Linked DNA regions of Oreochromis niloticus. The main gene of each other region encodes a partner of the protein of the gene in region 4 in a complex. Links are inferred from orthologs where the notes say so. Each region holds a gene or a part of one and is shown on either strand. Other genes may lie near its edges.

Region 1 (7,835 bases), on a different chromosome or scaffold from region 4:
AGCACATACACCAATCAGGCATTATAGCCAACTGCCTAATATTTTGTTGGTCCCTCTGTGTTGGCCCCTGACTTCACAAGACTCCTGAAGGTGTGCTATGGTATCTGGCACAAAGATGCAAGCAACAGATCCTTTAAGTAGAATTTGGATGCCAAGTCAACACTTAAAAAATCATTGTTGCGCCTGTTGTCCTCAAACCATTGCTGAAAAATGAAAGAGGCCTGATGGTAGGTACAGGTAAATGATGCACATCCACATAATTCATCAGACCAGGCCACCTTCTTCCACTGCTCTGTAGTTCAATACTGATGCTTGGTACTTTCTGTGGTGGACAGGGGTCAGCATGGGCATGCTAACTGGACTGTGCCTATGCATACACAACAATGTAATGTACTGTGTATTCTGATTCTATCAGAAACAGCAATACATTTTTGGCAGTTTGAGCTACAGTATCTAGATTGTTGGATTGAAACACGGGCCAAATGTCCCTCCCCAGGCGCCTCAACGAGCCTTGGCCGCCAATGACACTGACCACTGCATATCTTTCCTGCTTATAACATCAATTGGGGGAAAAAGTTAATTTTCTGTCTAACATATCTCACCTACTAACATGTGCCATGATGAAGAGATAATCAGTGTGACCACCAGTGACCAGTATGAGAAGCATAAACAGCAGCTACAGTGGACACTTTCATTGTTTTTAAACACTCGATTTCACTTCAGAATAACTTTGTGGTCTATGACCTCTGTAGTCTTCTGGTAGGTGCTAAGCTAAAGGAGCAACAACACCGGGGGTAGCTAAAAAAGTTGGCATATAGAATGGGTTGCCTTAAAGGTTTAACCTGTTTTACATAGATGATGAAGTATAGACCAAGGCTCAGTATAAGACTCAGTATAAGACAAATGAGTACTGTGAATCATACAAAGCTACTCTAGTAAAGTACAAGAAAATATCTATATATAGATAAGGAAATGAGCATAATATATTCCCTTATGTACAAAAATGCAGGTGCTCCTGGGTACAGTCTTGATCTTGTTTCAATCAGAAAGACAGATGAAGGCCGAGCACTCACTTTGTGGCTTTTGACTGTGATTTCTTCGTCTCTTCTTTATCCTTTTCCTTTTTGAGTTTCTTTATTTCACGAGGTATGATGTCATCAAACGGAGAATGTAACACCTAGGAGAGACAAAAAGAAAAGCTTAAATTACAGAAGCTAGATACTAAACATATTGCTGAGCAGGTAAAATAGAATGAACTAAAATACCTCAGCAGATTTGATCTTGTGAGGATTCAGAGGTCTTTCCTCACCATCACACTCAACTTCTGCTAATCTGAGCATATTATACACGGTGTCTCCAGTGACCTGGAGTGGGGATTGCAGAAAATAGAAATGGTCAGGCACACTCTTATCACATCCTGCCTGGGGAAAATGGCACTCATCTTGGTATATTCATATATTCATTGAAGACAGCATTCATTCATGAATACAGATAGAAAATAAGTCATCATGTTCTTACAGCTTTACCTTGCCAAATATGGTATGTTTATTGTTGAGTTCATCTGCACGTCCCAAGGTGAGAAAAAACTGACTGCCATTGTCATGTGGCCCTGCATTTGCCATGGCAACCAAACCCCTCCGATTGAAGCGCAACCTAGAGTGAAACTCATCCTGAAAGGCGACAGAAAGTTTAGAAGACATTGTATTTTAGTGTCACCTGCACATAGGAATTAGAAATCCACTTCAGAATTAAAAATAAAATGAGAAGAAAAGCATTCTCACCTTGAACGGTCGGCCATAGATGGACTCTCCACCTGCCCCTGTCCCAGTAGGATCTCCCCCCTGAACGATGAAATCAGGCACCACTCTGTGGAACACTGTACCATCATAATAACCTAGAAGATCAAGACATACTGTATACTAAAAAACAATAAGGCAACAACAGTTCCCTACTAACAATCAAGAAATCTGAGCCAACAAGGACATTTAAATAAAGACAGTGCTCAGCTGAATATAGGTTCTGGGATTTAAAAAAAAGTCTTATGTACACTGACAGCAGCCATTTCTCTGCTTACAAGTGAACAAAAAAAAAAAAAAACGACTGCTAACATTTAAGAAATATATAAGTAACTATGTCTAAGACTCAAAATTTCTTCACATTTTAGTCCATCAATAATCTTCAAAATAAGATAAAAAATATAACACTTACACGCATCATGGCCTAATACTTAAAGAGGCTAGTTTTACCAAACCAATATATTTTAAGGGCACGCCTGGAATAATTCGGCCTAATTTAGCGCAAACTGAATTTGAGGTTATTCTCCAGTGGTTTCTGCACTTCCTTAGTGAATTCTTACCTTCCATGCACAGCTGCACGAAGTTCCTGCATGCTTTAGGAGCCTCCTTGGACCACAACTCAATGTCAATATCACCTGCTGTTGTCTTTAACAGGACCTGCGAAAAGACCACGAAATTATACATTCAGAGCTAAACAGTGTTAGGAGTGGCTAGCTATTGGTACCTACAAATCCGCAATATTATGCACGAAAAACCTAAAGTTCAAATTGTAAACTGGCGCTTACCTTCCCATTTGTTGGTGGCTCTTGAATGTAAATGTTGCTCATCCTGCCGCTACGTTTCTGTGTTTTGTTAGCAGAATAAAAAATATATTCTCACACGATCTGAACTTTAGGTTCCTCGAATATACAGATAGTAAAGTTTGTTACAGTAGGTAACTTTAAATGTGATACATTTCACATTTCACTCTTTACAGCCATATTGGCAATACATGAGTTGATTGTTTACTTCCGAGAACATAGGGGTTTCGGTTTAATTATTGATTTTCTGTTCCGTTTTTTTCAAAGAACATCACTTAATTTGTTTTTTTTTCTGTTTTCATAAAATACATAAAAAACTTTTATTCGCACGTGAATCAAACTCCGAGAGTTTTGATGACAAAACAATCCAAAACAAGCTCGGTACTTCACCCCGAGAAACAGATTTTTGGATCGCTCCTAGTGCGCTATCACAACTGCCCCCTGGAAACAACAAGTTCCGTGTAATTACAGCGTAATCTCATTAATCCTAATAATTATGTGTTCTTGAGAAAAAGTGAGACACATAACATGTTGTTTATAATTAATAATTGTAGAATTTTAGCAACTTGTACTTGAAACAAAAACAACTACACAAAAAATCTGAGATTTAGGCGCTGAACGGAAGTACCGTATTTACGGAAGGACCACACGGGCGATCACGGCAATGGCGGCTACTGAAAAGAATGTGGAACTGAAGCGCAAAGTAGATGATGATCATGATGGGGATGGGGACGAAGAAGATGCCGAGTGGGTTGGACCCATGCCAAGCGAAGCCACAAAGGCAAAGAAAAGAAAAGGTGGGATTCTGGGTGTTCATTCGGCACACTGGCAGCTTTTTGCGACTGCTCTCTAATCACTGCTAATAAAGCGCCAAACGCCGTCCGTTAACTTCTGTGTGTATTTGTTTCTCTCAGTACTCGAGTACGAGCGTGTCTATCTGGACAACCTCCCGTCGGCTGCAATGTATGAACGGAGCTATATGCACAGGGACGTCATCACACACTTAGTTTGTACAAAGTAAGTCAGCAGCTACAAGGAAACTTTCCTTTATATGTGTGAGAAAGCTTTTCCACTTTACAGCACTACTCACTTACATCCAGCTTATTAAACCACCTTAATAAAAGCGATCCAATGTTAAAATGCCTAAACTATCAATTATTAGTATTACCAGTATACCTCATATTCCAGGACTGTCTTTGTGCTGATCCATTGTTAGCATTCATGTTTGTCCCAAAGTAATATGTAAAAAAAAAAGTCAACCTAAAATGGTGACGTTTATGATACCATCACCTGGGAAATCTAAACGAAGCAACAGAATTTAGTAGTTCTTTTATTTAAGAGTGGGCAGCCGTTTTAATAATTATTATTGATGTATTTTCTATCATTCCTGTGACAAGTCATGCCAATTTCCTGCAGCTTACTGTTTATAGAGGAACCTTGCAGGCTGTATTACATGTTATTAGTTGGTTGTGTTTGTTCATTGTTTGTTTGAAAAGCCACTGAGTGCTGTATCTGTAATAACAATGAAGTTCCATCAGCTCATATAAGCTGTGTTGTTTGCTGTTGACCTGTGAGCGTGTAAGAGGACATTTTATCATCAGCAATGGCTAACATTTATCTGTTGGGTCTCATCACTTTTAGCCTGAAAGTGTATTATTGTATTATTATCTGTTTCCCTGGCATAAATTGAATGACAAAACCCCCCAAAACAAAACAGGCAAACAAAGAAAAACTTTGATGCATCCATATTCGCAATCCTGATTTTTAAAATTTTCTCTTTACTTCAAATAAAGATTGTCTAACTCCATCAGTAGATGGGATGTGGATAGGAAAAGTAGGCTGAAGCTGAAATAACGCCATAACATTGTGCTGTTTCAGGACAGACTTCATCATCACTGCCAGCCAGGATGGCCATGTCAAATTTTGGAAGAAGAAGGAGGACGAGGGGATAGAGTTTGTCAAACACTTTCGAAGTCATCTCGGTATGAACTTAATTCGTGATAACTTCTTTTTAACAATCGGAGTGGCACTGGACTGAGAGGGGGTTATGGAGACCCGGTGCATTGTATGTTATAATATAACGTGTCTTTAATGAGTGAAAAGGATGTGTATAAACACTGTTCTTGCTTTTTGCCCAGGTGTAATAGAAAGCATTGCGGTCAGTGCGGAAGGGGCCCTTTTCTGTTCGGTTGGTGATGATCAGGCCATGAAAGTATTTGACGTGGTCAATTTTGACATGATCAATATGCTGAAGTTGGGGTGAGTCTAAATGAAAATTTTCTTGCTAGACACAATAATGTTTTTACTGCTGATAGATTTGGAGTGCAAGTTCTCCTTTAATTTGATTGGTTTCTCTACTGTGATCTGTCTGTATGTAGCTTTCATCCAGGCCAGTCTGAGTGGATCTATAATCCTGGAGATGCCATCTGCACAGTAGCCTGCTCAGAAAAGTCCACAGGGAAGATCTTCATCTATGATGGCAGGGGAGGCAATGACCCCTTCCATGTCTTTGACAAAATGCACTCCGCACCGCTTTCCCAAATCCGCCTGAATCCCAAGTTTCGAGTCATTGTGTCTGCTGACAAAGCGGGAATGCTGGAGTACTGGACGGGCCTTCCAAATGAATTCAAGTTCCCCAAACATGTGGATTGGGAATACAAAACGGACACTGACTTGTATGAATTTGCAAAACACAAAACCTATCCCACCAGCCTTGCCTTTTCCCCCGATGGGAAGAAGATGGCCACCATCGCTTCTGATAGGAAAGTCAGAATCTTCCGATTCCTAACAGGAAAACTAATGCGAGTGTTTGATGAATCATTAACGGTAACCTGCCATTCACCTTTCAGCCTGGATCATTGCTAGCGTTATGAATTTTGCACGCTAATCACAGCTGCTATATGTGTGTTAGATGTTCACAGAGCTGCAGCAGATGAGACAGCAGCTTCCTGACATGGAGTTTGGGAGGCGGATGGCTGTGGAGAGAGAACTGGAGAAGGTGGATGGTATCCGGTTGACAAACATCATCTTTGATGAGACTGGCCACTTTGTTCTGTATGGGACCATGCTGGGCATCAAGGTCATCAATGTGGAAACCAACAGGTATGCTCACAAATGAAGGTGGAGACTAAATCACAGTTGTGTTTCGTAATAAAATAATGTTTAAGAGATGTAAATGAGTATTTTAATTGTAGTATACAAACTGATGAAATCAAAAGTGATAACGTCACCACTTCACATGCAGAGTTATATAGACATATAACTCCCGAGCCCTGTGTTTCTTGTTTTCTAGATGTGTGCGGATCCTTGGGAAGCTAGAGAACATCCGTGTGGTTCAGCTGAGTTTGTTCCAGGGTGTTGCAAAGGCCATGCAAGTGGCACCCACTGTGGAGATGAAAGCTTCTGACAACCCTGCCTTACAGAACGTAGAGCCTGACCCAACCATCTTCTGTAGTGCTTTTAAGAAGAACCGCTTTTACTTGGTGAGACAGAAAGGCATTCATTTCAAAGTGACAGTGCTACATTTTTTTCCCTTCTTACTATAAGTTTTTTGTCGTCTCTTTTTGAAGTTTTCGAAGAGAGAACCAGAGGATACCAAGAGCGCCGATTCGGACAGAGACATCTTTAACGAGAAGCCCTCAAAGGAAGAGGTGATGGCCGCCACGCAGGCCGAGGGCCCCAAGAGAGTGTCTGACAGTGCCATCATCCACACCACTATGGGAGACATCCACATCAAGCTTTTCCCTGTGGAGTAAGTCCTCAGTGTGAATGCTTTTGGCTCCTCCTTTCATTTTAGAAGACAGAAACAGAACTTTTCCTCTCTTTGATTTTAGATGCCCCAAAACTGTGGAGAACTTCTGCGTCCACAGCAGGAATGGATACTACAATGGCCACATATTTCACAGAGTGATCAAGGTACGTTGTCCTTTTTCTTTATGAAGCTTGGCGATCAACTGTGTGATTCCGGCTCTGAGTGTTTGTCTCTTTGTCGTTGACAGGGCTTCATGATTCAGACTGGAGACCCCACAGGAACAGGCATGGGAGGAGAGAGCATCTGGGGAGGGGAGTTTGAAGACGAGTTCCACGCCACGCTGAGACACGACCGCCCATACACACTTAGCATGGCAAACGCAGGCCCCGGCACCAATGGCTCACAGTTTTTTGTCACCGTGGTACCCACTGTAAGTAGCCCAACTAAAACCACTTTCAGACCTGTATTTTATCATTGTGTGAATAAGATTTCAATTTACTTTTCTGAAAAAGTACGACAGCTACATGTAAGATGGTGACATTACCATTTCAAACTTATAATTAGAATTATGGTAAAAAGAAGATTGTATAAAGTACACCCTTTATTGGGTCTAAGATTTTATTTATCAGGTCATAATAAAAATAATTTAGGTAATTGGGTAAATTAGATCAATACAACCTCAGACGAATAACAAAATATGACATATGACACTGTCTCATATTCATTTAACAAATCTCAGGACTTATGGTCATAATGCACTGTGTCAGGTTTGGTGAAACCAAATGGCATGGCAACACAAACCGCTCACATCAGCTCCTAAACATGGAATTGGTGGGGCGATGGTTAGACTTGGGCATCTTTCAGCCATTGACTTGACTGTGAACTTCTGTGTAAACCAAAGTTATTTTAGAGTCAGATGTGAAGCCATCTGTCTGACAGCTAAAGTGAAAGTGAGTTGTGCAACAGGCAAATGATCCCAAGCACAGTGGCAAACCTACTACCTACTTCTGACTGGAAAAGAAAACAATCAAGGTGTTCCATGGCCCACCCAAAGTCCACACCTCAACCTGCTTGAAATGTTGAAAGGTTGTATTTACCGAAGTGCTCATAACACCTAGATAATGTTTTATTACATCTTGATATGTAAAACCTTAAAAATTACTGTGCACTTTCCTTTCACCATAACTACAGATGAAGTCATTTTTTATTTATATTAACACATCGTTTGCGATACAGCAGAAAATGCACGATTCAGCAAAGTCTGGTGTCGTTCCTGGAACAGCATCAGTGTCAACAATCTTGTAATGCTGCATGTAATTGACCAAGCACAGTGTTGGGTTTCATTCCCTTTCTGTGTAACATGGCAACAGTAAACATGAATACTGTCAGGCACTCAGAGTGTAATGGAAGCCTACACAGACCTGGTGCATCAGGTGTGTGTAGGTTAAGACCTGCACATATCAGGTGTGTAAATTCTTTCTTCAAATA
Region 2 (6,556 bases), on a different chromosome or scaffold from region 4:
CCCCGACTTCCCCTCCCCATCCCCAGCCCCAGTGACAGTGATCTCTTATGCTAATCAATTGGTGTGTTTTTTTGATTGACTGTTGTCAATTCTGTTTGTTTGTTTGTTTCCATGGTGACTGAACCAGAAAATATGTAAAATAGATTTAAAAAAAAAAAAGTTCAGTCCCCATCGCTGTTCACATCAAAAACCATCAAACCCTGAAAACACCATCTCATAATCACAAAAACTATGTTACAAAAGAAAAAAATCCTGTTAAAACAGGAAACCTGTGACGGTAAACACTTGTGTGTGTGTGTGTGTGTGTGTGTGTCTGAGAGAGAGTGAGTGAGTGTTTATTTTCGAGTGATGTCAACATCTTCCTGCTCTCACCTTAGTCTTAACTCACTATTTATAGTGGCCAATCAGAACCCTCCCTCAGCATCCCTGAGCCAAACAGTCCAATAGTTGCTGCTGTGCTTTGGATTAGAGCGTTCTGATTGGCTGTTTCTATGTGGATAGTTGTCATTGGCTGTTCTGTTCTACCCAAAATTTTCTAAATGCTCAGATGGGTTTTTTTTTTTTGCAAGCAAATGGCTAGTATGTAGTTAGCATTAAGCTAGCAGACGCAGAGCACAGGGCTAGTGTAACCATAATTATATACACAGTACAAGGGAACTACTATCCTAACTATGTTTACTAGCTAATAAACATAGCAAGAGACTTGTAAGCACATGGGTAAAAACCGCTAACCAAAGATAAAATTTAGCCAACATTTTTTTATGTTAGCACACAGCTAGCCCAGTACCAGCACAGTCTGTGTATTGTTAGCACAAACCTTGCACTTCACTAAGGTATGGTTAGCTGTAGAGCTAAAGAATGTCTTTTAGCATCTTGACTATAAAAAGGCTGAAACAGCTCTATTGGTGGTATTCCACTGACACCTGAGTAGGCTAACTTGATCTAAGGACATAACTATCATATGGCTAGCAGACACTGAACAAAGGGCTAGCGTAATCATAACAGACATAACACAAGGACCATAGGCTGGTTGTGTTTGATATCCATTTATTATTATGTTTATTGGCTAATCACAAAGAAAGAACTTGGTTGGCATATATTTAAACAGCTAGCCAAGGCTAACATTTATCGTAACATCCTATTGTATGTCAGGACACAGTTAAGCACAGCTCGTGCCCATTGTTAAAATCAGGCTAATGTGTTAAATAAAGACTTTTTTCTTATTTGCATTAGGCTAACATAACAGATAATAGAAATACATTTTAGCATATGACCAGCAGATGCTGAACACAGGGTTTACGTAATACAGACAATGCTAACATAAGGGTATTTTAGCTTCATTGAAAATCTCTTACTGATTTTTGGCTTATGTTAATGCATAACTTACATGTTGATAACAGAGCTATAATATAGCTTATGGTTAGTACTAAGTTACGGTTTCTAATTTTAGCAAAAGCAGTATACCACACATCAAATTCAACTGACAAGTGAGCAGCCTAACTTGGTCTGAGGACATTACTAACATATGATTAGTATGTATCTAGCAGACACTGAGCATAGGGCTAGTCTAACCATAACACATGACTATACACATAGAACAAGAAAATTAGGCTTTCTATATGTAACACCCATTTCTTGCTATATTTATTAGTTAATAAGCATAAAAATAATTTAATTAGCATATGAATAAAGAGCTATCCAAAGCTAAAGTTTTTATGTTAGCACACGGCTAGTACCAGCACAGCCCTTACAGACCTTTAACATAGGGCTTACATTTGCAAAACAAAGTTTTTCTCTTGTTAGCAAAAAGCTAACATGGGAGATAATAGAACTACAGTTTAGCATGTGGTAGTTGATGCAGAGCATTAGAGCTAACATAACTATAACATGTGGCTAGTTGCACATAGTACATGGATGGTAAGTTAGCTGTACAATTTTTCAACACTTATTTACTAGTGTGGTTACAACTTAACATAGCAAGGGCTTGGTTGGTTTGTAGGTAAACATAAGAGCAAGGAGCTAAAAATGTCTGCTAACAAGAGAGTATGTCAGTTTTATGTCAGCCTCTACTGATTTGTGGTTTATGTTAGCACATGAGTAACATGAACTATAATTTAGCTTGCGGCTAGCATTTAGGCGAGGTAGTAGCTACAGGTTGATTAAAGAGACCTAACAAGGTCTAAGGAAATGGTTCACATTGCTAATACAGAGCTAATGCCTTGAATTCAGGGCTAACACGTAGATGTTAGTGTTTTAAGGTTCAGCCAAGAGAACTGCTCCACCAATGGGAACAAGCCACAGGGCTGAGGGGTGTGGCTTCACAAGGGTTTGATGAGTGAGACCTAAAGCCATACACACTGTGTTTGTGCGCATGTATTAACATTACCATGTGTGTGGGTGTGTATTTGTTAGAGCCTGTATGTGTGAGTGTGTGTGGGTGTGTGTGTGTGTATGTGTGTAACATTGCAGGGATTTGCACTCTAGTGATTCACCTCAGCAAGACATCCACCCACCTACAACCACACACACACACACACTAACACACACACACACGTGCATTGCACTGCCATTTGAAATAGTGGGTCAGATTAGTTTCCATGTAGCTTCACCAACCAACCAAACTGTATTTTTCTTTAAAGGAACAGGGATGTTGTAAAGTATTTTTGTACAAATTTAATACTTTGGTAGCATGACGTTCCTGTTGTTTGTCCTGTCGGGCTCCACTGCTCTCCTCCACCCGCCTTTGTATGGACGATTACTGAGCAACAATAAAGATGAAGACCTGCTGGGAGAACTGGACTCTGTGTGTTGTCTGACATCAACACTCACAAGTTTGATTTTTTTTTTCTTAATACATATTTCATTTTATGTCTTTGACAGAAAGAAAAGCAAATTTGATGACCTGCCTGTCTATCCTGTGCTGAAAATTCCTCAAATACATCTTACCACTCATGGTTACCACTATTTTAATTTTTCAAAATTACATTAAAGTGTACGTAATAGTTATGCATTTAGAGAGTATTAACTAGATTTCCTTAAATTATCCAAAGATCTCAAAACTGTTTTATTCCATGTTAAGCTAATTTTAAATGCTTAATATTGTATTTGGTAGTTAAATAATACGGTAATGGCTTATATTGGTAAAAATCATCATAATTTTTTAATCATCCTTTCCTGTGAGAACCACATAACAGTAAAAAAAAAAAGAACTTTTCTAGTAGTAAGTTAACAGAGCAGTGCAGGATGTTCTTTGTCACGTGGACTTTTCAATGATTATTTTTGAGGGTAATCATCATTGTAAAAAATTTAGGTTTTTCAGAATTGTTTAAGGAATTATACAACAATGACCAATTTTCTTGTTTGTTTTTTTCTAGTTATAGGAAATGACATCACGTCCGGTGTCCATTTTGTTTGTGGATCACATTTGTTTATATTTCAGAAGAGTCATAAATATTTTTACTATTCAAAGAAGCATCTGAGGGCTCTGAAAATATATTGAAATAAACAGGAAATGATTCTTAACTATGATGGAGCATAGGAAGGAAAGAAATATTTAAAATCATTTAAGATAGTAATTAAGGGATAGGGTGAAAAGCGAGAAAATAAACTCAGATGTTTTAGAGTCATTAAAGAAATAGTCAAAAAGAATAGTTTATCATATAAATTTACCAATTTGTATCATAATTTTGTGTCTTTTCTCTTATAAACTTGTCATGTTTTCTAGTAAATTTGTCATTTTTTTCTTTTGCATTTCCCATTTTTTCCCACCTTTTTTTATTTCTTTAAATTTTGCAGTTTTTAGTGTTTTCTTTTTGAGAACTAACACAAACCGGATGTGACGCTTCCGCTCGGCGCTCTGCTGTCGTTCCTGCTCACTGTTTGATTGCTCTAGTCTGCGCTCCAGTGTGTTGTTAGCCGTTAGCTACTGCTGCTGTTCGAGTGCGCACGGTTTTATTTTGTCACCGGACTACCACTATAAGTATTTATCGACCACCCCACTGGATAAATAGACACCGAGCCCGGGACAAAGGATGTCCACTGCGTTGGAGAGCTACATTAACCGTATCCTTCCGCCGTTAGCCACTAATGTGCAAACCCTCTGAATGAATGGAAAAATGCTAGTTAGCTTAGCTGCATGCTTACTTGTTTTGTTAATTAGCGGCAGTTCAGAGATGTCTGTGAGAAACGGGTTGTTCAGAGCTGAGTTAAAACATGTTCAGACTTCTTAAATGTAGATTTCACATTTAAAATGAGGGAAATCTCGGGATTTTATTGCCGTGTTTGTATTATGTGGACCCGCTGATCAGAGAAGTTCTGTAAATGATTTCACAGTTTGATTCATGTTAAGATCACACATACACATCAGGACTCATCACATCTGGACCACTTTGAAAAACTGTAAACTCTTCTTTTTTTTAAATTTTGGAAGCATGCAACTTACAGTTTTAAAGCTGGAGCTCATTAACAGACAGAAGCTAAGGTTACAAGCGCCTCTTGTGGACAGAATGGGTGGGCGGCATAGCTTTCAATTTTGGTGTTATGATAATTGTTCTTATTTGTACGTTCTGAATAATATTAGAGAGGTTTTGGTCCATAAAGGTGCTGTTTCTTTAACTCGTGCTGATCCAGGTACCGTGGCCATTGTCACCTCGGACGGCAGGATGATTGTGGTGAGTCTGAACACATCCTTACCTTTACTGGACGATCACCCGGGATCAAAATCACTTTAAAAAAAACTTTTAATCAATTCTTAAATTATATTGGAGACAAATGCATACCGAAGACTGGTCAGAGCCTGGTGTGTTTAAAATCGTGTCATACACAAGCAAGTGCACCTGGAAGCAATGAAAGCATTAAAGTCGTTATTCATTTATATTTTAAACAGCAGTGGGCCCTGCAGAACTTCACCACTCACAATAATCAGGATTCACTGAAGTCAGAATTATTTTGGATTGTAAGTTATTGTTATTGTAAGTCGTGTCCTCATTGATTCATGTCAGTTTGTTTTTTCAGGGCACTCTGAAGGGCTTTGATCAGACCATCAACCTGATCCTGGATGAGAGTCATGAGCGAGTGTTCAGCTCCAGTCAGGGGGTCGAGCAGGTGGTGCTGGGACTCTACATTGTCCGAGGCGACAATGTGTAAGTCACGTTTGACCTTTGTTGATGATGAATCAATACTGAAGATAACAAATTAGTAAGGCCTTAATGTGAATTTTAATCTACAAAATCAGATTAACATGGTTTACCAATTTTATTATTTTATTAAGATATAATTTGTTATTGCAAAATGGGGTAATTAATAATTAGGAGTTAAGAAAAAACTCCCCTATCAGAGTTTTGTTTTTGTTTGTTTGTTTGTTTGTTTAAAATTATTTTTATGAAGGAAAACCAAGAGAAAGACTCTTATTCTTAAACAAGGAGGAAAATGATGTGTGGGGATCCATACCTACATAGATAGATAGATAGATAGATAGATAGATTCGTTACATTGTTTTATTTTAATGTAATGTAATGTTTAAATATTGTTAACAGTTCTGTTATGTAATTTGTTTATCATTGTTTATTGTTTTCCTTTCATATTTTATTTGTTCTTCTTGTTTGTTTTTGTTTGTAATCCCCTCGTTTGTTTTCTTGGTTGCACTTTTTCTTGTTTTGGTTACAGAGCGGTGATCGGGGAGATCGATGAGGAGACGGACTCCACTCTGGATTTAGGAAACATCAGAGCTGAGCCGCTCAACTCTGTCGTTCACTGACCTTTGACCCCTGATGATAGCGTAACTGTTGTGTGAATAAAGTTTATGGGAGTCTGTTTTAGGAGCAGGTGTGCTAATTATCCGGGATGAGCCGGAGCGTCCTGATAACTTGCTCGCCTGCTTCCTGTCTCTGACTCCTGGCTCTTGTTTTCTGTTTGTACTTTTTATAAATAAAGAAGTGAGATGATGAAAATGTTAGAGGAACTTTTTTATGCTCCTAAGTCTTTTTGTCAATGTGAGACTGTTAATAAATAAAGTTTAATTTGTTGTGTTCTGAAAAAGAAAAGCGTTTTTGTTGTTTGTTTACTCAACAAAAATGTTTGACAAATTATATTTTTTAGTCAGAGGATATTGATCAGAGGAAAAAGTGAAAACTTTATGAGAAAGAAATTAGATTCTTAAATTTGAGAAGAAAAGGAGAAAAATCGAATAGCTTCTGAGATAAAATATGCCACAACCAAGATTCAGTTCTTCAAGAAGCGATTTTTATTTAAATGAAAGATCTGCAGAGCCAGCAATAACATGACAATTCTAAATGAATCCTTACATCAGTCACACGTCTGAGAGCGGGGAGGAAATAGATGGTGGAAAGATGGCGCGAACACTAAAGGTGTGAGTAACACTGATATCAATGAAGTGACAGATCGATAAATACTGAAGTTTTACGTGAGGGCCATGGCGAGGAAAGCTTAATGGTTAAAAACAGCTGGATAAAATCACCTGAAGACCAGATAAACTGAGGTAACAAGTTTAATCTGCCTGTAGGAACAATGTGAAAGCTGCTGCCATGACCTCACCGGT
Region 3 (7,398 bases), on a different chromosome or scaffold from region 4:
CCATTTTTAATACTTTTGAATCTTTGCGATGTATGGGACATCATATGTTGCTGTTTTCTCACAAGCATCTGATGGGTGGCTGTAGGATGACTTTGGAAATCAAGAAGAGGAAATGAGTGAAGACAGGGCTAGGGATTAAATGGTGGAAGTTGAAGAAGAAAGAATGATGCATAGAGTTCAGGCTGCAGTTGAGACGGGCTCTGGGTGGTAGGGAAGGGTTACAAATGACTGGAAAAGTAGAGTAATGAAGAAGTAGTGAGGGAAACTTCCAGGAAGGTGTTGGACGTATCCTTTGGATAGAAGAAAGCGGACTAGGAGACATGGTGGTGGAATGAGGAAGTACAGGAAAGTATTCAAATGAAGAGGTTAGCAAAGAAAAAAATGTTGTGAAGTCAGGGAGATGAAGAAAGTCGACAGGAGTATAAGAAGGGAGGATAAGAAAAGAGAGAGGTGGCAAAGGCTTATAGTGAGTGTGTATGAGTCTGGACATGAAGGAAGGGCAAAAGGACTTGTATAAATTGGCTAGGCAGAGATGGATAGATATACTAACAGATGAAAAGAGTGTGTTGAGAAGATGGAAGGAGCTGATTGTTGTAAAACATGAGAGAGAGGAGGGCAGATGGATCAAAGCTGGTAAATCAAGAAGTGCAGAGCATTAGTGAGAGCAGCTATGAAGCACAAAGAAATCCATCTGGTCCCGATGACATAGCTGTGAAGGTATGAAGATGGAGGGCAGGGGACTTTCTCACCAGATTGTTTCACATCATCCTGCAAAGTGAGAGAATGACCGAGGAAGGGAGAAAAGGTTAGCCAGCACCAATTTTCAAGAACAAGGGTGACGTGCAGAGCTCTGACTACAGGGGGATAAAGATGATGTGGCATACCATGAAGATAAGAAAGCTGTTGAAGCTAGTTAAGAAAAGAGGCTGAGACAGAGCTCTACAGATGGGATGTTTGTTTTAAGATGTTGATGGAGAAGTATGGAGAAGGTCAGGGCGAGCTGCACTGTGCCTTTGCGGATCAGAGAATATGATAGGCTGATGATAGGATGCCAAGACAGGAACTGTGGCACTGATGGGTTCATGGTGGGGGTGGGATTACATCAGAGATCAGCTCTGAGCCCCTTCTTCTTTGCAGTGTTTATGGAGAGGTTGACAGATGAGGTCAGGCGGTCGTTGTATACGCGATGTTTGCAGATGAGACTGCGATCTTTAGTGAGAGCTGGGAGCAGGTGGAAGAGATGCTGGAGAGATGGAGTATACTCTGGAGAGAAGATGAATCAAAGTTAAGAGAAGCAAGACAATCCATTGTCATGCTGGTGGCATAAATCGCAGCTATGAGACTGCAATTCAAGTTTTTCTGTTGCCTGATTAATTTTGATTGCTGGTTTGGACCATCAAAACTACCCAGGGCGTGATTTTTCTTTCTTTTTTTTCTTCTTTGTTCTGGTTGACAGGTTTTCTAGCAACCAACCACATGATATTTCTAACCCCAATTACATGGGAGTGTCATTCAGAGGCGGGAATGTGATAGATAAAGGCTGGAGTTACAGCATGCCACCGCGAAATGTTACCTCTGGGGGACAAGCAGGAAAAGAGCCAAAGAAGGGTTACGATGTGAGCACACGCAGCCCCACGGGAAAGCCTGCTTCTGTGTAAGTGTGAGCCTCTTTCTGGTTTGAAGAGACTTCAGTTTCATTTCTAAAAATACCTCCAAACCTTTATCTGATCTGATTCTATAGAAAGGGAAACCAATGTCATTAACCGATGATTTCTCTGACAGGGGTGAGAACGGAAAGACATCAGAGATGTTTGACAACCCGTTGTATGGTTCAGTGACCAAATCACATGGTCGGTCTAAAGACCAAGACCAACAACAGAAGGACCATCTCATACCCCCAGATGTGCTATTTGGATCCTCCAAAACAGCAGACGGAGATACCGATCGCCCTCCAGTGCCCACCCCACGCAACCGCTCCTTCACCTGCTCTGAGAATAAACCTCAGCCTCCAACACCAGTCAGCCTGCATCCCCCATCACAAAAGAAACCAGTGGTGCCCTCACGCTCAGAAGGCGGGATGGGCCAAAGCCGGCCTCCTTTGCCTGCTAAGTCCCGACCGGGTGTGCCGGAGCCCCAGACCCCCAAACCAAGAGACTACAGAGACACCTCAGAGCTCACCAGCAAACAGAGACCACCAGGAAGACCTGGTGAGTCTTGCAAAGACAGCAAGGAACATCCTCAGGTTTCCAGACAGCTATAATACACTAAATGACATCTCTTTGTCTTTTTTTGTGCATCCAGACGTTTCCAAGATCGGTCGCCCTGTGAAGTGAGACTGAGAGGTACACCTTCCTGGCTGCATTCCTGGAAATATTTTTTAAAACCCCTTGCTACTGGTGTCACTCATTTTAGAGGACAATCACATATCTGTGCTGTCATTATAGAGCAGTCAGTTGGCTTAGCTTTGCACCTGTCCAAAGGTCTAAAAAATTCATCTGCCTGTCATCCTCAAAAACTCACTTTTTAAGTTAGACTGAGCCGGGCTAGCAGTTCCTCTTTATTTCCAGTCTTTATGCTAAGCTAAGCTAACTGGCTTGTAGTTAGCTTAGTTATCTACTTATCTAAGTGCTAGTGAGACATTAAATGGGCGTACCAGTGTCTAACTCAGCCTTCAAATGTATGTAAACTCATTTTTTAGTTTCTCGGACTTCTGCAAAGCTCACATTGGAACGTAAGTTTGAACCTGGAACCTGCTTCTAAAATAACTGTTACATTTCATTTGGAGTTTTTACACTATACAGTAGCTGATGAATGTTTACCGCACAGTATTATCTTGCACAGACATGTTTGCCTTTAATATGTACAAATGATGCTCCAATGAATTCCAATATTAAAGCTTGAATTACATGTTTTGTGTGTGTGTGTGCATGTCTTTTTTATGTCAAGTCACAAATGACTGCTTTTAAAACTTGGAGTGTTGGCCGCTGCAATCTGCTGCGAAGACCAGACCGGTCACACTGCAGTGATTTGCCTCCATCTGCTGGTCCGTAAAGGAACTGCAGGCAGTCTGAGAAGGGGCCTTTCTAGCTTGGTGTTACTGGAAATACATCTACATTTTCTCTTTAATCAGCTGTGACTAAAAAGGTGAGGTGGCACAGTTCCTGATGTGCACTTTCACTACAAACTGCTTCTACTGCTACGCCTCTTCATTGTTGTAAGGCTGCAGCCTGTAACCTCCACCCATCTCGCTTTTGTGCCTCTGCTTTTGCTCCTGTTCCCATGAGAGACCCGGCTATTGTAGCTCAGCCAGCACACTCATCTCTCGTTTGCCTTTCTTCCTCTTTCCATCAAAGGGTCATGCTTACTACATGTTCTACACACCTTAAAGCTCCTCATCTTTATTTCATGACACATGTTTACACACCCCAGTTCTTCTGTGCAGCTCCATGTTTGAGTATTTGTTTGGCTGGAAGATGCTGCATATTTGGGGAAGACAGTCAAAAGACACGAAACTTTCATCAGGTCACCAATAGTTATAGACATGGTTGAAGACGTGTTGGTGTACATTGGCTGTGTTTTCTTGGTGTTGATGTTGAGGCTAACAGCCGAGCCAGTTCTGTTGGTTTAGTTGGTAACTCTTCTGGAACTGGCTGAGGAGAGAAGAGCAAAGTCTTTGATGAAGTCCAAGTGTGTGAATGTACTCCACTGCATATATTTTACACATATGTTGACTTTAAAATATGACTGATATAACACCAGCGGTTGCTGTGTTTTCCACCCTGAGTATTTGAGAATTAGAAGGTTTTCCTTACCTTTCATGTTATATGTTGGAAGTTTATAATAAATGCATCCAACGTTTCAAATGACTTCTTCTAGGAGAGGGTGTGGGTCCTTAATTTAAAAAACCCAAAACAAAACATGAACTTTCTAATAAAAATGACTTTTAAATTATATTTATTTAGTTTATGTAGCAGAAAAAAAATGCACAATGCAAAGACAGCTGCCACCGTAGTCCCTGTAATTACATTTCTGTAAATTTGTTTTTTCAAAATGTATTTTGTATTTTTCTTTGAACTTTGTCATTGTCACTTTGTAATTGAATTTTTGTTTTCAATTACAGACAGTTACTGCATATTTATTTAGTCTTTGGTTGCACCAGAAAAAAAGAGTTTGTATTTTCCATAAGCAATTTTTTTTAATGTCAACTGACAGTGTTAAGCTTTTTTTATTATTGTCTCTTTAAATTATATTTTATTTTATTTTATTGAAATATATTTTCATATGAAGTTTTTATTTATTTATTTATTTTTTTGAAATCACAATAAAATTAAGTCAATTAGATAAACACCTGTGCAAGCAACGTTTCCCATACATGAACGTTGAGCTTAGCTCTGTCGCCTCTGTGTGGCGAACTTTAGTAATTACACCCTGGTGTGTCTCAGAAATATTAAGGGGTTGTTACGTCATCGACAGGCGACGCGCGGCTAGGAGAGGGCAGCAGTAAGAATGGTAAGGAATCACGATGAAATTATGACTTTTCTGTAGAGTTTATAGCAGATACGTACGGCCGGAGAGAGCCTCTGACCCGGGCACACCTCGGTGTGTCTCTGTGACCTTAATTCTGTCAGCTTTAAAAGAAACCGGCCGCAACGCTAACCGTGCAGCTAACGTTAGCATGTGTTTCTGCTCCGCAGCTTTTTTACTCGTTTTTCAAGTCGCTGGTGGGGAAGGACGTCGTGGTGGAGCTCAAAAATGACCTGAGGTTAGTATTCGTGTTCAATTCGCTCACATAACCTGCCGTTTTCCGGCCTGTGTTGTTTGGTCGGCGATCGCTGTTTGGAGCTTTGTTGATAGACGCAGCAGCGCTCCCACAGTCACAATTTGAATATTAATTTTTATTAGTTTTCATTTGAATTTCACTTCATTTCATTGCAGCAGTTTTTAATACTTCTCAGCTTTAGTTCCGTTTTATTGGATTCTGCAAGAATAATCCAACACAAACAGATGACTCTCAATCATACACATTATCAGAAAGTCAAGCCAACAACATTTCCTGTGTGTTTTACTCTGTGGTTGTTCAGTGAAAGGCCTTAGACAGCGATCAGTGGGCTCTGGGTCTTCATTATGAGCTCAGCACTGAAATATTTATTACGTATTACTGTAGCTGTCACTGTTTAAATGGAACTAATCTGCATGAAACAGTTTTATTTCTTGTAACTGGTCACACTGATGACTGATGAAATGATTGTCGTGGTTGACTTCTTGCTGGAGATGTGTTTTGTTTTGTTTTTCTCAATAAAATCTGAAGTGACTTCAATTGAAACTGGACTAAATGTAGCTTAAAGCAAGATTATGAATCCAGGTTGCAGCCTGTCAGGTCACAGCCGCATAATTACATTTGTTTTAAGATTAATTCAACTTTTATATGTCATAGACGGAGTAGATCAAACAAACTACAATAAGATTTTCTTTAAGTCAAACTGTTCCCGTCTCGGGGTTAAACTCTGGAGCAGGGTCTTGATGCTTGTCAGTAGTGACGGTTTTAAAATGTAACAACAGGTTTGTGCTAATGCCTGTCGTTTCCAGAACAGCTTCTAAAATATGTGCAAGTAACTGCAGATGTGGACAAAACATAGATGTATTAAAAATATTATATTTTGGTGATAATTCTTATTGTTTCACCACCCAGACCTGTGGAAATAAATGTTTAAATATCCATAAATTAATCAATAAGTGGCATGGAAATCCTGAGGTCAGAAAGAAAACCTCAGAAGTTGCGTTTGCTTTACCTGGGCACACCTGACCGTAAATTCCACCCAAATACTGATGAGCTGTTCCCAAGCCTCATAATCTAAAGATTAATTGAGCAATTTTGGTTTGTATTTGTGAACAGAGTCATGTTCATGAATGTGTGTTTCTCTCCTCAGCATCTGTGGAACGCTTCATTCTGTTGACCAGGTTGGAAATAATTCATTTGTTTTAAAACGGAAGCTGTTCAGCTTTTACATTTCTGCATGATTGCTCACTAAAATGCCGTTTTCACATCGCTTTCAGTACCTGAACATTAAGCTCACAGACATCAGCGTCACAGACCCGGAGAAATATCCACACATGGTAAGTTTTGCTTCTGGAGACTTTCCACATTTAATACAGGGGAAAAAAAGACTAAAGAAACAGATGAGGCTGTCGCTGCTAAACAGGTGTTTACAGTTTTACAATGTACAGAAAAAAGAGCTGTTGCAGTGTACTTACAAGGTTTAAGGTTCTGCTACAGAGGTCTGTACAACCAGTAAAAGAAACTAAATTCTCTGCTGCTGTATGTGAGAATGTAGAAATGTCGCCCTTCTACCTGATGAACCTTTTGATTAGATAAATATTCCAGCGGTGAGAGTGCACGCAGGACTTCTGTTTTCCACACAGAATGATGCATGATAAATATTTAGGGGCTCAATTATCCCCCAAAAAAGACACACAGACAACAGCTCCTCCCGAGTTTATATACAGATATGTTTACATAAATATCTTTTACATTGATTATGTTTTTCATGTATTATAACACATAAAGCTTTCAAGATTTCAGTCTTTGTTTTCATCTTGTATGTGAGCTCCATTTGCTGCTGCTCAGTTTTTATTGAGGTCAAGAGGAAAAAGAAAAGTTGGATATTTTTATAATACAACATCAAGAATATAACTATAAACTTTAGCTCCTTATTTAAAAGTTGCATAAAATCAGAAACGAGTTCAGTCATTAGGAAAGTCCTTGGATGTGCACTCCTTAAAGCTCACCAGCAGCTCCAGCACAGAGTGACGGCTGTCTGTCTTCACACTGACTGTTTTCATTTGCTGCAGCTGTCTGTGAAAAACTGCTTCATCCGTGGATCGGTGGTCCGTTACGTTCAGCTGCCGGCAGATGAAGTGGACACTCAGCTGCTGCAGGACGCTGCACGGAAAGAAGCCATGCAGCAGAAGCAGTGACGGGGCTGCGGGGCGGGGTGGGGGTGGGGGGGTAAGGAGAACAATGAATGGGTAGTTCTGGTTTTGGGTTAAGTTTGTGCAGCCTCTCTTTGTCTCTGAAAATGTGTCTTTGACATTGGGGATCAGTCATTAGCAGTTTTTGTTTTTTTTAACCTCAAAGACGGTTTGGACGTCGTCGTTTGATCCCTTTTTTTGGTTTTATATAGAAGTAAACTAATCAGAGAGTCCAGAGAGGAAACCTGCTGTGATGTTCATGTTGATGATAACAGGCACACTTTGCTTATCAAATTGTGGCTTTTTTTATGCCTCTTGGAAATAAACATTATTTTATTTATATTTTCATGACGTTTGTGATTTATTAATTATTTTAGGATGATCTTGGTGACATGTTGGAGGATTTGGGGTTTGCTGTTGAAGAACTGT
Region 4 (7,937 bases):
TCTTTTTTACGCTCTCGCTTGTGTTTAATGGATTTCCCAGAGCATCAGATCCTGAACAGCTGTAAACAATATTGGGGTTTTGGAAAGGGATAGCCACTTGCCGCCATATCGATTGCACCTATCTGATTACACCGTGTGTGCAGACTCCTCCCTTTATGGAGGGGATAACTTCAGGACAAGTGGAGGTTATCACATGTTTATATTTACAGCGCTTCCCTTCAAGTTTTGAACTTGACAGATAGTGAATGAAGGTTTAGATATTAAAGCTGGAAGTCTTTCTCTCAGTCTGCTGCCAACCACTTTCCCCCTGTGTGTGTCTCAGCTGTGTTTGTGCGATTTGTGCTTTTTGTGTCTCTTCTTCTTCTTGTCGTCTCTGTCACGCTCATGTTCTTGTCGCCTCCTCTTGGATTTACATTCACTGCTGCTGCTGCTGTCGCTCTCAGACTCCTTCCTCTCCCTCTTCTTACTCTTCTTCTTTGCTTTCTTTTCCTGGAGAATAAGCGTTAAAAACAAAGAAGTTGCACAAAAAAGCAGTTTCAATACCTAAAAACCCAAACACTGAAGTATGTTCCTCTTAAATCAGCACAAAATCATTTTTCCAGGCAACAGACTTCCAATGTGGTCACAACAGCATGTCATGCAGAGAGACATGTGGGGGTTGTTGCATCAGATGAAAGAGAAAGAGAGAATCAGCAAAGGAAAGTTAGAGCGGAAAAGGAAGCGAGAGCTGTGCAGGGCTTTAAAGGTCACATCGTCACCTTCTTTTTCTTCTTTTTGTCTGAATCTTGATTTTGTGCAGCTGTAGATGGTTGCTGCTCTGGCTCTTTATCGTCCTCTTCAGGCAAGAGAGCGTACTGCAGGCCAGGAGCAGAGAAACAGTCCTTTGTAAAGTGACCTGAAGAGAGTAATAATTTATTTAAGAACCGCGGTGTGAATTCAAGCAAATCAGCCATCTGTGTGAAACAAGCACAGTCTCTTTGACACATCACACTACTCATGATGTCACCTCACCCTTGCAGCCGCACTTTGAACACGTTGTGTTGAGCACAGCCTCCAGCGTGATCCTGTTGCTGGTTTGGTCTCTAAACTGCTTACGCCGCCTTGAATCCTGCCTATAAACACACACAGAGACGTTAACAACACACACACACCTGTGCAGACACATGAAAACACACAAAATGAATCCGTAAGCACTTACTCTGCCATAACATTGTTGGGGTCCAAGTCCCGCCCTGTTCCCTGATTGACGGCTTTCATGGAGAAAGACAGCTTCACCTTGTCACCCTGAATCTAATGAGCAGAGGAAGAAGCTGTAAACTTTCTGCTCAGTGTGTGTACTTCTGTGACTATCTTTATGAGAACCAGGTTGTATTTGAGACCACTGGAGTGGCAGTTTCTGACACCCTTTCATGTTTAAGGGTAAAGACGGGCTTTTAATGTAGCCTTTCTGGGGTTTGAAGCTGAAGAATACCTTCATTTAATGAATGTTGTCCAAAACGTGTGATATTGTTACCTCTCTCCCTATGACTTTAATCCACACATGTTCTCCCACATCCACAATTTCTGAAGCGCTCTCAACCCGGGAAGCTGACATCTCACTCACATGTACCAGACCTGTGAAAACAAAGGACAAAGCTCATTTACTTAGATATCACCTAAAATACATTTATAGTTTCAAAAGTCTTAAGCAAACCCTCATGTCTTTATATTTGGAACCAGACTTTCTTTCGTAATTTTTAAAACGGTCAAGAGCAACAGTTCTTCAGCCCTTTCTGAAGGCCAAATGCCACATTACACAAGAAGTGGATTGAAAATCAGTTGCAACAGGTCTTATTGAGTTATGAATCCAAAATTATTATTATTTTTTTTTGCTCATATCGTTGTCAGTATGTACAGAGGAGGTCATGAGAGAAGTACAAGAGTGTCTACAGCCATCTGTAAAACATGATACCAATGCAGCAAAAGCACACCTAGATAGGAAAACTTATAATGCAACACCATCAGTCATGGATTAGCCTCCCATGAGCTCAGATTTCAGCATTATTGAAACAGTGTGGGATCATCTTTACAGAGAATGGAACAAACAGCAGCCAACATCCAAAGAAGGACTTTGAATGTCCTTCAAAAAGCCTGGAGAACTATTCCTGAAGACTACCTAAAGAAATTACAAGAAAGTTAGGTAAGAGAGTTAAGGCTGTTTTGAAATATAAACGTGGTTATAACAAATATTAACTTTTGAGCTCATTAGAATACAAACTCTGTATTTCCATTCATGTTTGCACAGGTTTGAATAAATCACTGCACCCATTTTTCTCTTTCCCAGCAAAATATAAAGAAATAAGGAGTGCCTCAAGACTTTTGTACAGCACTTTATGGTCAGCATTAATGACCTACAGAAAAGGTTGACACATGAATACGTGTTGGATGACAAATGAAAACCCAAATACTAAATTAAGAATCAAACTTATTTCCGGCTGTTATCAAGCTTCAAAAACATTTGACCAACTAAATCATATAACTGTGGCTTAATCATTACATCTACTTCAAACCACTTTAACTGACTCACTTCAAAGGGAGTGTAATTTAAATGAAGCAAACAAGTTCTGTCCAAAACATTTTTTTAGGCTACAGGTTATTAAAGTGTGAGCACAAGTTGTTCAGTTCGCCCTCCAGTGGTGAAAATGAACAGCTGCTGTTTAACTGGACATGTAGGTCAAGGCCAAGCCACAATAAATCATACTTCATTATCAAAGAGGTAACCCAAGTGTAAATATAGATACGAGTCATCCCACTTCATCAACGTGTCCCACTTCTTATCAACCCCGCCCAAACCCATCCTCCCACACCTCCTGTCTGTACACACACATCTTCAATTTCTGTTGCTATGAAGATAACACAAATGAATTATAATAGAAGAAACTATGATTGTACTAATAAACCAAAAAGAAAAAAAAAGATTTAAACATAACAACAATGTGAAATGTCTTACTTTGACCTGTGTCTTTGAAGTCTTCCGGCCTTGTCTTCTTACTCACAGTGAGACAGTACACTAATTCAATTCAATTCAATTCAATTCAATTTTATTTATATAGCACCAAATCATACCAGCAGTCACCTCAAGGTACTTTGTATTGTGAAGTAAAGACGCTACAATAATAGACAGAAACCCCAATAATCAAATGACACATTAAGAGCAAGCATTTGGCACCAGTGGGAAGAAATCCCCAGCAGAGATCTCCAGACAAAACAACACTTTTTTTTTTTTCTTTCTCCTTTAACCTATTTTTCATCTGAATAATCAAATGTTTTCACTGACCTTCCTTCCTGTATCCTGGCAGTCGGACAAATGCTCCATAAGTTTGCACTGAAACCACCTCTCCTTTGGCAATGCTGTACAGTGGTGGCAAACCATCCAGCCCAGCCGGCTCTGATGTTCGGCGGTCACGGTCGGACATCGTCTCAAAACAGCCACGGTTACCAATAACTGAATCTTGCACTTGGATTCCCACAATCCCTGAAATGGCAGATCAGGTGCATTTATGATCTCTGTTTTAATCTTAGTGAGTTTAAACTCTGTTCGCTCAGAATAAACTAATTCTAATTTTCCAAAAGTTGAATCTGTTCATCTGGACGTAGCGTTTTGTGGGAGAAACGTTTCGTCACTCATCCAAGTGACTTCTTCAGTCTCAGCTGACCTGCAAACAAATTCTAATTTGTTTATTTGTAGGTCACATTCTTACATGGCGGGTACTTTTGCATTGTATTTGAATTTATACATCAGTTTTCTAGTCTTTATGACCACTTTAAACTACAAGCACGCTTTAACTATACATTCATGCAGCACTTTTAAGCACTTTATTCACCTCACAACCACAGCCAATTTAGAATCACATAACATGTATGTCTTTGGAGTGTGGCCAGAAGCCCAAGTACCTAGAGGAAACTTGACACCAAAAGGCCACTGCCAGGTTCTTTCCTGGTGTAAAGGCAACGGTTCTCACTACCCCATGATGATGGCATCCTATTTCAGATCTTGTGTCTGTGCCAAGGCACCCTCTGACCTCTGTATGACCTCAATATATGAATACTTCTATGCCGATTTATTATTCCATGAATGGAATGTACCATTTTAAAATTCCCTAAAACCAACATTTTCTGTTATTTAAACCACACTGGTGGATCTAAAATCCATCTGAATAGATACGACCTAGAACAGCCTCATTGTACAACACTATGAATTTTTAAACATTTTCATTTTCGTGTATTTTGGGTCACTTTAGGAAAAGTCATGAAATTTCATGCTAAAACAAAGACATATTTTTTTTTACTGAAGTCAAATGTCAACACAGTTCATTTGACCCTAACAGTATTCAAAGGCTAAATCTAAAAAGAGATTTTATTATGTGCACTGATTATTTTACCCCCACTTTAAACTCGCATGCTGACTTGCTATTCAGCCGTGTCATATTTTTGTACCTGAAAGTGATTTTTATGAGCTTCACAGCTGTGTTGAATCTCTTGGATAGCAATAAAAACCTATTAGACTCACTTTTTATCTCAAACACAAAAACTGAATGGAACAGCAGCTCCTCGGCTAATGTTAGCCACACTAAAGAGCTATAATAAATGAATAAACAGATATTGAATAAATAAAATATGAACAAGAAAATAGGCCCGCGCCTGCTTAACGTTCTAGTTTATACAAATAAATAAACATAACGTCATGCAGCAATAATTTAAGAGAAAATAATTTAAAAATGATATCAGCGTTACCTTTCGGATTGATACGATGGTTATTTTACATCCGGTTCAAAACGTTTCAACAACAAGCGAAGCGGCTAATCTGCTGCTCACAATCAGCCAATCATCTTAGCCTTTGCAAACCTCGACCAATAGTATTCCTCGCACTCACAGGAAGTACTTCTTCTGTGTTGATACGTTGGTGCTACTTCCTCCGACGTCTCGTATGAAAGACGTCCATTCATTTTTTGTAAATTGTAGCATTAAAGCTTTAGATTTTTGCGGATTTTTGTCCTGTAAAGATGATTGAGCCTATGAAGAGAGCGGCAGACATGGCGGTGGTTCCTTCCGCCGTGAAGCGGCCCCGGACGGAGCTGATAGCGGCGGCGCAGTCTCAGCAACTCGTGGCCACGGTACGGAGGGTAGCTGTTACTACAACCGAGAGGGGTGGCTACTGAAGTAGACTCAAACATTTAGAACAAGTAACCACACTATACTGTGTACGCTTTATGATTAATTATATATAAAGCCGCTTGGAAAAAAGTCACATTTTCCCTTTGTGGTGATTTTAGATTCATTATCTGGGCTGCCAGCGAGACAGATAAACATGAAAATAAAATTAGCACAGCATTAGCGCTCACTTTGATGCTTTTTACAATGTCTCCTACACCCAGCTGGATTTGGGTAAACTATTGTTGTTTAAAAAGAGTTTTTAAAGTGATCACAAAACATGTTCTTTTGTATTCTGGTTTAATGTTTTATCTTTTAAGGATAGAAACCCTCTCAGCACCATTGATAACACCAGCTCCAAAATAATGGGGGTCAGGCAAAGAGATTTGTGTTCACACTGAGAAACTCGGGTGATAAAGAAAGTAAAAGACATTATTAACTATCTTGACCACCATTTCTATTCTGAATTCAGGAAGTTACTCCCAGGTAACCCCTACTTTATATGTCAGTGTAGAACAAATAGATACTTAAAGTCTTTTATTCCTTTGGCTGTTAAATCACTTAACTCTGACATTTCGACTATTCAAGATGGGGCTAGGATTATGTCAGAGTTCGGCTCTGAACCCCTTTCTCGTTTGCAGTCTTGATGGACAGGCTGAAAGATGAGGCCAGGCAGGAGTCTCAGTAGACTATGATGTCTGCAGCCGATCTGTAGTGAGAGGAGGGAGCAGGGCGAAGACAGCCTGGTGAGGTGGAAGTATGTGGTGGAGAGAAGAGGAATGAAAGTCAGAAGACACAAAACAGAACACGTGTGTGAATGAGAGGGAGACACATCAAATTCCAGTCTGATGGGAGGTGTAACAGTGAAGGTATATGAGTTTACATAAATGGAATCAAACATCCAAAGCAACGCAAAGCATTAGAGAGGGGAAGAAGAGAGTGCAGCCAGGATGGAGTCGATGGATTGTGGAAGAACAGCAGCAGGAGGAAAAGGGAAGATGGCAATGAGACCTGCTGTATGTATGGTTTGGATGGTAGATGATGGCACTGAGAAATTGAAAACGCTCAGATTTACATTGGGAAGGACCAGAATGGACAATATTAAAGATGGTTGCATCAGAGGGACATTGCAGATTGAGTGGTTAGAGAGGGAGCTGAGATGGTTTGGACATGTGCAGAGGAGGGATAGTGGACACAATGAACAAAGGATGTTGAAGATGGAGGAAATAAGGAAGACCTCAGAGAAGATTCACTGATGTAGTGAAGGATGTCATGCAGAGGGTTGGTGTGACAGAGGAGGATGCTTGGGATGGAGTGAGATGGAGGCAGATGATCTTTGCAGATCGTCTTTATTCGCATTAAAACACCGGCATTGCATTAAATATGACCTTGACATTTGTTTTTGAGACTATTATAAAAAAAAAACAACACTTTGACCCACTTTCACAGTCCATATCTGATTTTATAATAAATTATAAATACAAGCTAAAAATGTCCAGTATGATTAAACCGGATAAGTTACCTGAATATTTATAAACAAGATATTCAAACCTTTAATCGTCTGCCTCCAGATGTATCAGTTCTTTCTCCAGTGCTTCTACCCTCCCAGGTCACCTGCCAGGACGCGTTTCTATACCAACAGCTGCCTTTGCATCCCGGCTTTTGTTCCCACAAAGAAAACTGATCAGGAATCAAGAAAGAATTGATAACGGTAGCCTCTCCGATACTATTTTTTTAGAACGAGGATGTAGACAGGGGTGTCCAGCAAGCCCTTACCTCTTCAACTTGTTTATCGAACCTCTAGCCCAGGCTATACGTCAGGAAACATCGTTGAAAGGGATTGTAATAGGAGGGGACGAGTACAAGGTGTGTTTATACGCAGATGATGTCTTGGTAACAATCACGGATCCCAGCTCAGGTATACCAGTATTAATGGGGATGTTGGAAACATATGGCCTGTATTCAGGGTATGTTCTTAATGTCAAAAAAACTCAAGTTCTGACATTTAATTTTTCTCCAGACCAGACATTATTGTCAAAATTCAAGTTTAATTGGAAGGCAACTGCTATCAAATATTTAGGAGTGTTTCTGCCTAAAGATCTAACACAACTGTATGATATTAATTACAGTCGTATTAATAGAGAAATATATAGCGATCTCAACATTTGGGCCTTGCTCCCTCTTGACCTTGGCAACAGGATACAGATAATTAAAATGAGTATTCTTCCCAAACTACTCTATCTTTTCCTTGCTTTACCTATTCAAATTCCAGAGAAGCAGTTCAGGGAATGGAATAAACAGATTTCGAGATTCATTTGGCTTAACAAAAGACCAAGGGTGAAGTTCTCTACTTTGCAGTTGCCGAAAGAAAAAGGGGGCTTGGCTCTACCTTCATTAAGGGATTACTACTTATCTGCTCAGCTGAGGTCTTTGGTGTGTTGGTGTAATCCATCTTTTTGTGCGAGGTGGAAGGCGATTGAGATGTCTCTTTCGGACACGCCAATCCAGTCTAGACTTGGTCACACAGCTTCTGAATTGGACGGTACCTTGACGCCCAGCCAATGGGTCACTTTTACATTAAAAATATGGAGGGGAGTGGTCAAGCAGGCACAACTACAGGAAGAGATAAAACTTCTGAGGTGGCCAGCGTATGACCCTGATTTTTTACCTGCTTCCCACGATAGTAGATTTAAACAATGGGTGTGCCATGGAATTACTGCTAGGTGTTCGGTTATTGTAAAATCTAA

What was found.
Region 1: snrnp40 (region 4) and cwc27 share a complex: the UniProt entries of both Homo sapiens proteins name them as parts of the minor spliceosome. The link is inferred for Oreochromis niloticus from reciprocal best matches to the Homo sapiens genes SNRNP40 and CWC27.
Region 2: snrnp40 (region 4) and lsm8 share a complex: the UniProt entries of both Homo sapiens proteins name them as parts of the U4/U6-U5 tri-snRNP complex. The link is inferred for Oreochromis niloticus from reciprocal best matches to the Homo sapiens genes SNRNP40 and LSM8.
Region 3: snrnp40 (region 4) and smx5 share a complex: the UniProt entries of both Homo sapiens proteins name them as parts of the U4/U6-U5 tri-snRNP complex. The link is inferred for Oreochromis niloticus from reciprocal best matches to the Homo sapiens genes SNRNP40 and LSM2.

What each region holds. Positions count from the first base shown.
Region 1 is NC_031972.2:12,013,613-12,021,447, forward strand, and holds the start of cwc27 (spliceosome-associated protein CWC27 homolog), read right to left. Parts: upstream 3,011-7,835; 5' UTR 2,624-3,010; coding exon 2,582-2,623; intron 2,454-2,581; coding exon 2,357-2,453; intron 1,895-2,356; coding exon 1,782-1,894; intron 1,671-1,781; coding exon 1,527-1,670; intron 1,365-1,526; coding exon 1,266-1,364; intron 1,178-1,265; coding exon 1,074-1,177; intron 1-1,073. Other genes in the region: ppwd1 (peptidylprolyl isomerase domain and WD repeat-containing protein 1), read left to right, coding at 3,261-3,393, 3,511-3,613, 4,475-4,578, 4,735-4,855, 4,975-5,422, 5,508-5,698, 5,889-6,078, 6,166-6,347 and 2 more. UniProt on the Homo sapiens protein: As part of the spliceosome, plays a role in pre-mRNA splicing. Probable inactive PPIase with no peptidyl-prolyl cis-trans isomerase activity. As a component of the minor spliceosome, involved in the splicing of U12-type introns in pre-mRNAs.
Region 2 is NC_031981.2:20,046,527-20,053,082, forward strand, and holds lsm8 (LSM8 homolog, U6 small nuclear RNA associated), read left to right. Parts: upstream 1-3,843; 5' UTR 3,844-4,031; coding exon 4,032-4,062; intron 4,063-4,629; coding exon 4,630-4,670; intron 4,671-5,013; coding exon 5,014-5,141; intron 5,142-5,664; coding exon 5,665-5,755; 3' UTR 5,756-6,036; downstream 6,037-6,556. UniProt on the Homo sapiens protein: Plays a role in pre-mRNA splicing as component of the U4/U6-U5 tri-snRNP complex that is involved in spliceosome assembly, and as component of the precatalytic spliceosome (spliceosome B complex).
Region 3 is NC_031986.2:32,801,981-32,809,378, forward strand, and holds smx5 (smx5), read left to right. Parts: upstream 1-4,388; 5' UTR 4,389-4,506; coding exon 4,507-4,509; intron 4,510-4,694; coding exon 4,695-4,762; intron 4,763-5,927; coding exon 5,928-5,958; intron 5,959-6,054; coding exon 6,055-6,114; intron 6,115-6,849; coding exon 6,850-6,975; 3' UTR 6,976-7,311; downstream 7,312-7,398. Other genes in the region: inpp5d (phosphatidylinositol 3,4,5-trisphosphate 5-phosphatase 1), read left to right, coding at 1,457-1,654, 1,783-2,207, 2,302-2,333. UniProt on the Homo sapiens protein: Plays a role in pre-mRNA splicing as component of the U4/U6-U5 tri-snRNP complex that is involved in spliceosome assembly, and as component of the precatalytic spliceosome (spliceosome B complex).
Region 4 is NC_031985.2:22,356,174-22,364,110, forward strand, and holds the start of snrnp40 (U5 small nuclear ribonucleoprotein 40 kDa protein), read left to right. Parts: upstream 1-4,921; 5' UTR 4,922-5,042; coding exon 5,043-5,153; intron 5,154-7,937. Other genes in the region: zcchc17 (zinc finger CCHC domain-containing protein 17), read right to left, coding at 319-489, 759-895, 1,012-1,112, 1,199-1,290, 1,514-1,614, 3,317-3,455. UniProt on the Homo sapiens protein: Required for pre-mRNA splicing as component of the activated spliceosome. Component of the U5 small nuclear ribonucleoprotein (snRNP) complex and the U4/U6-U5 tri-snRNP complex, building blocks of the spliceosome.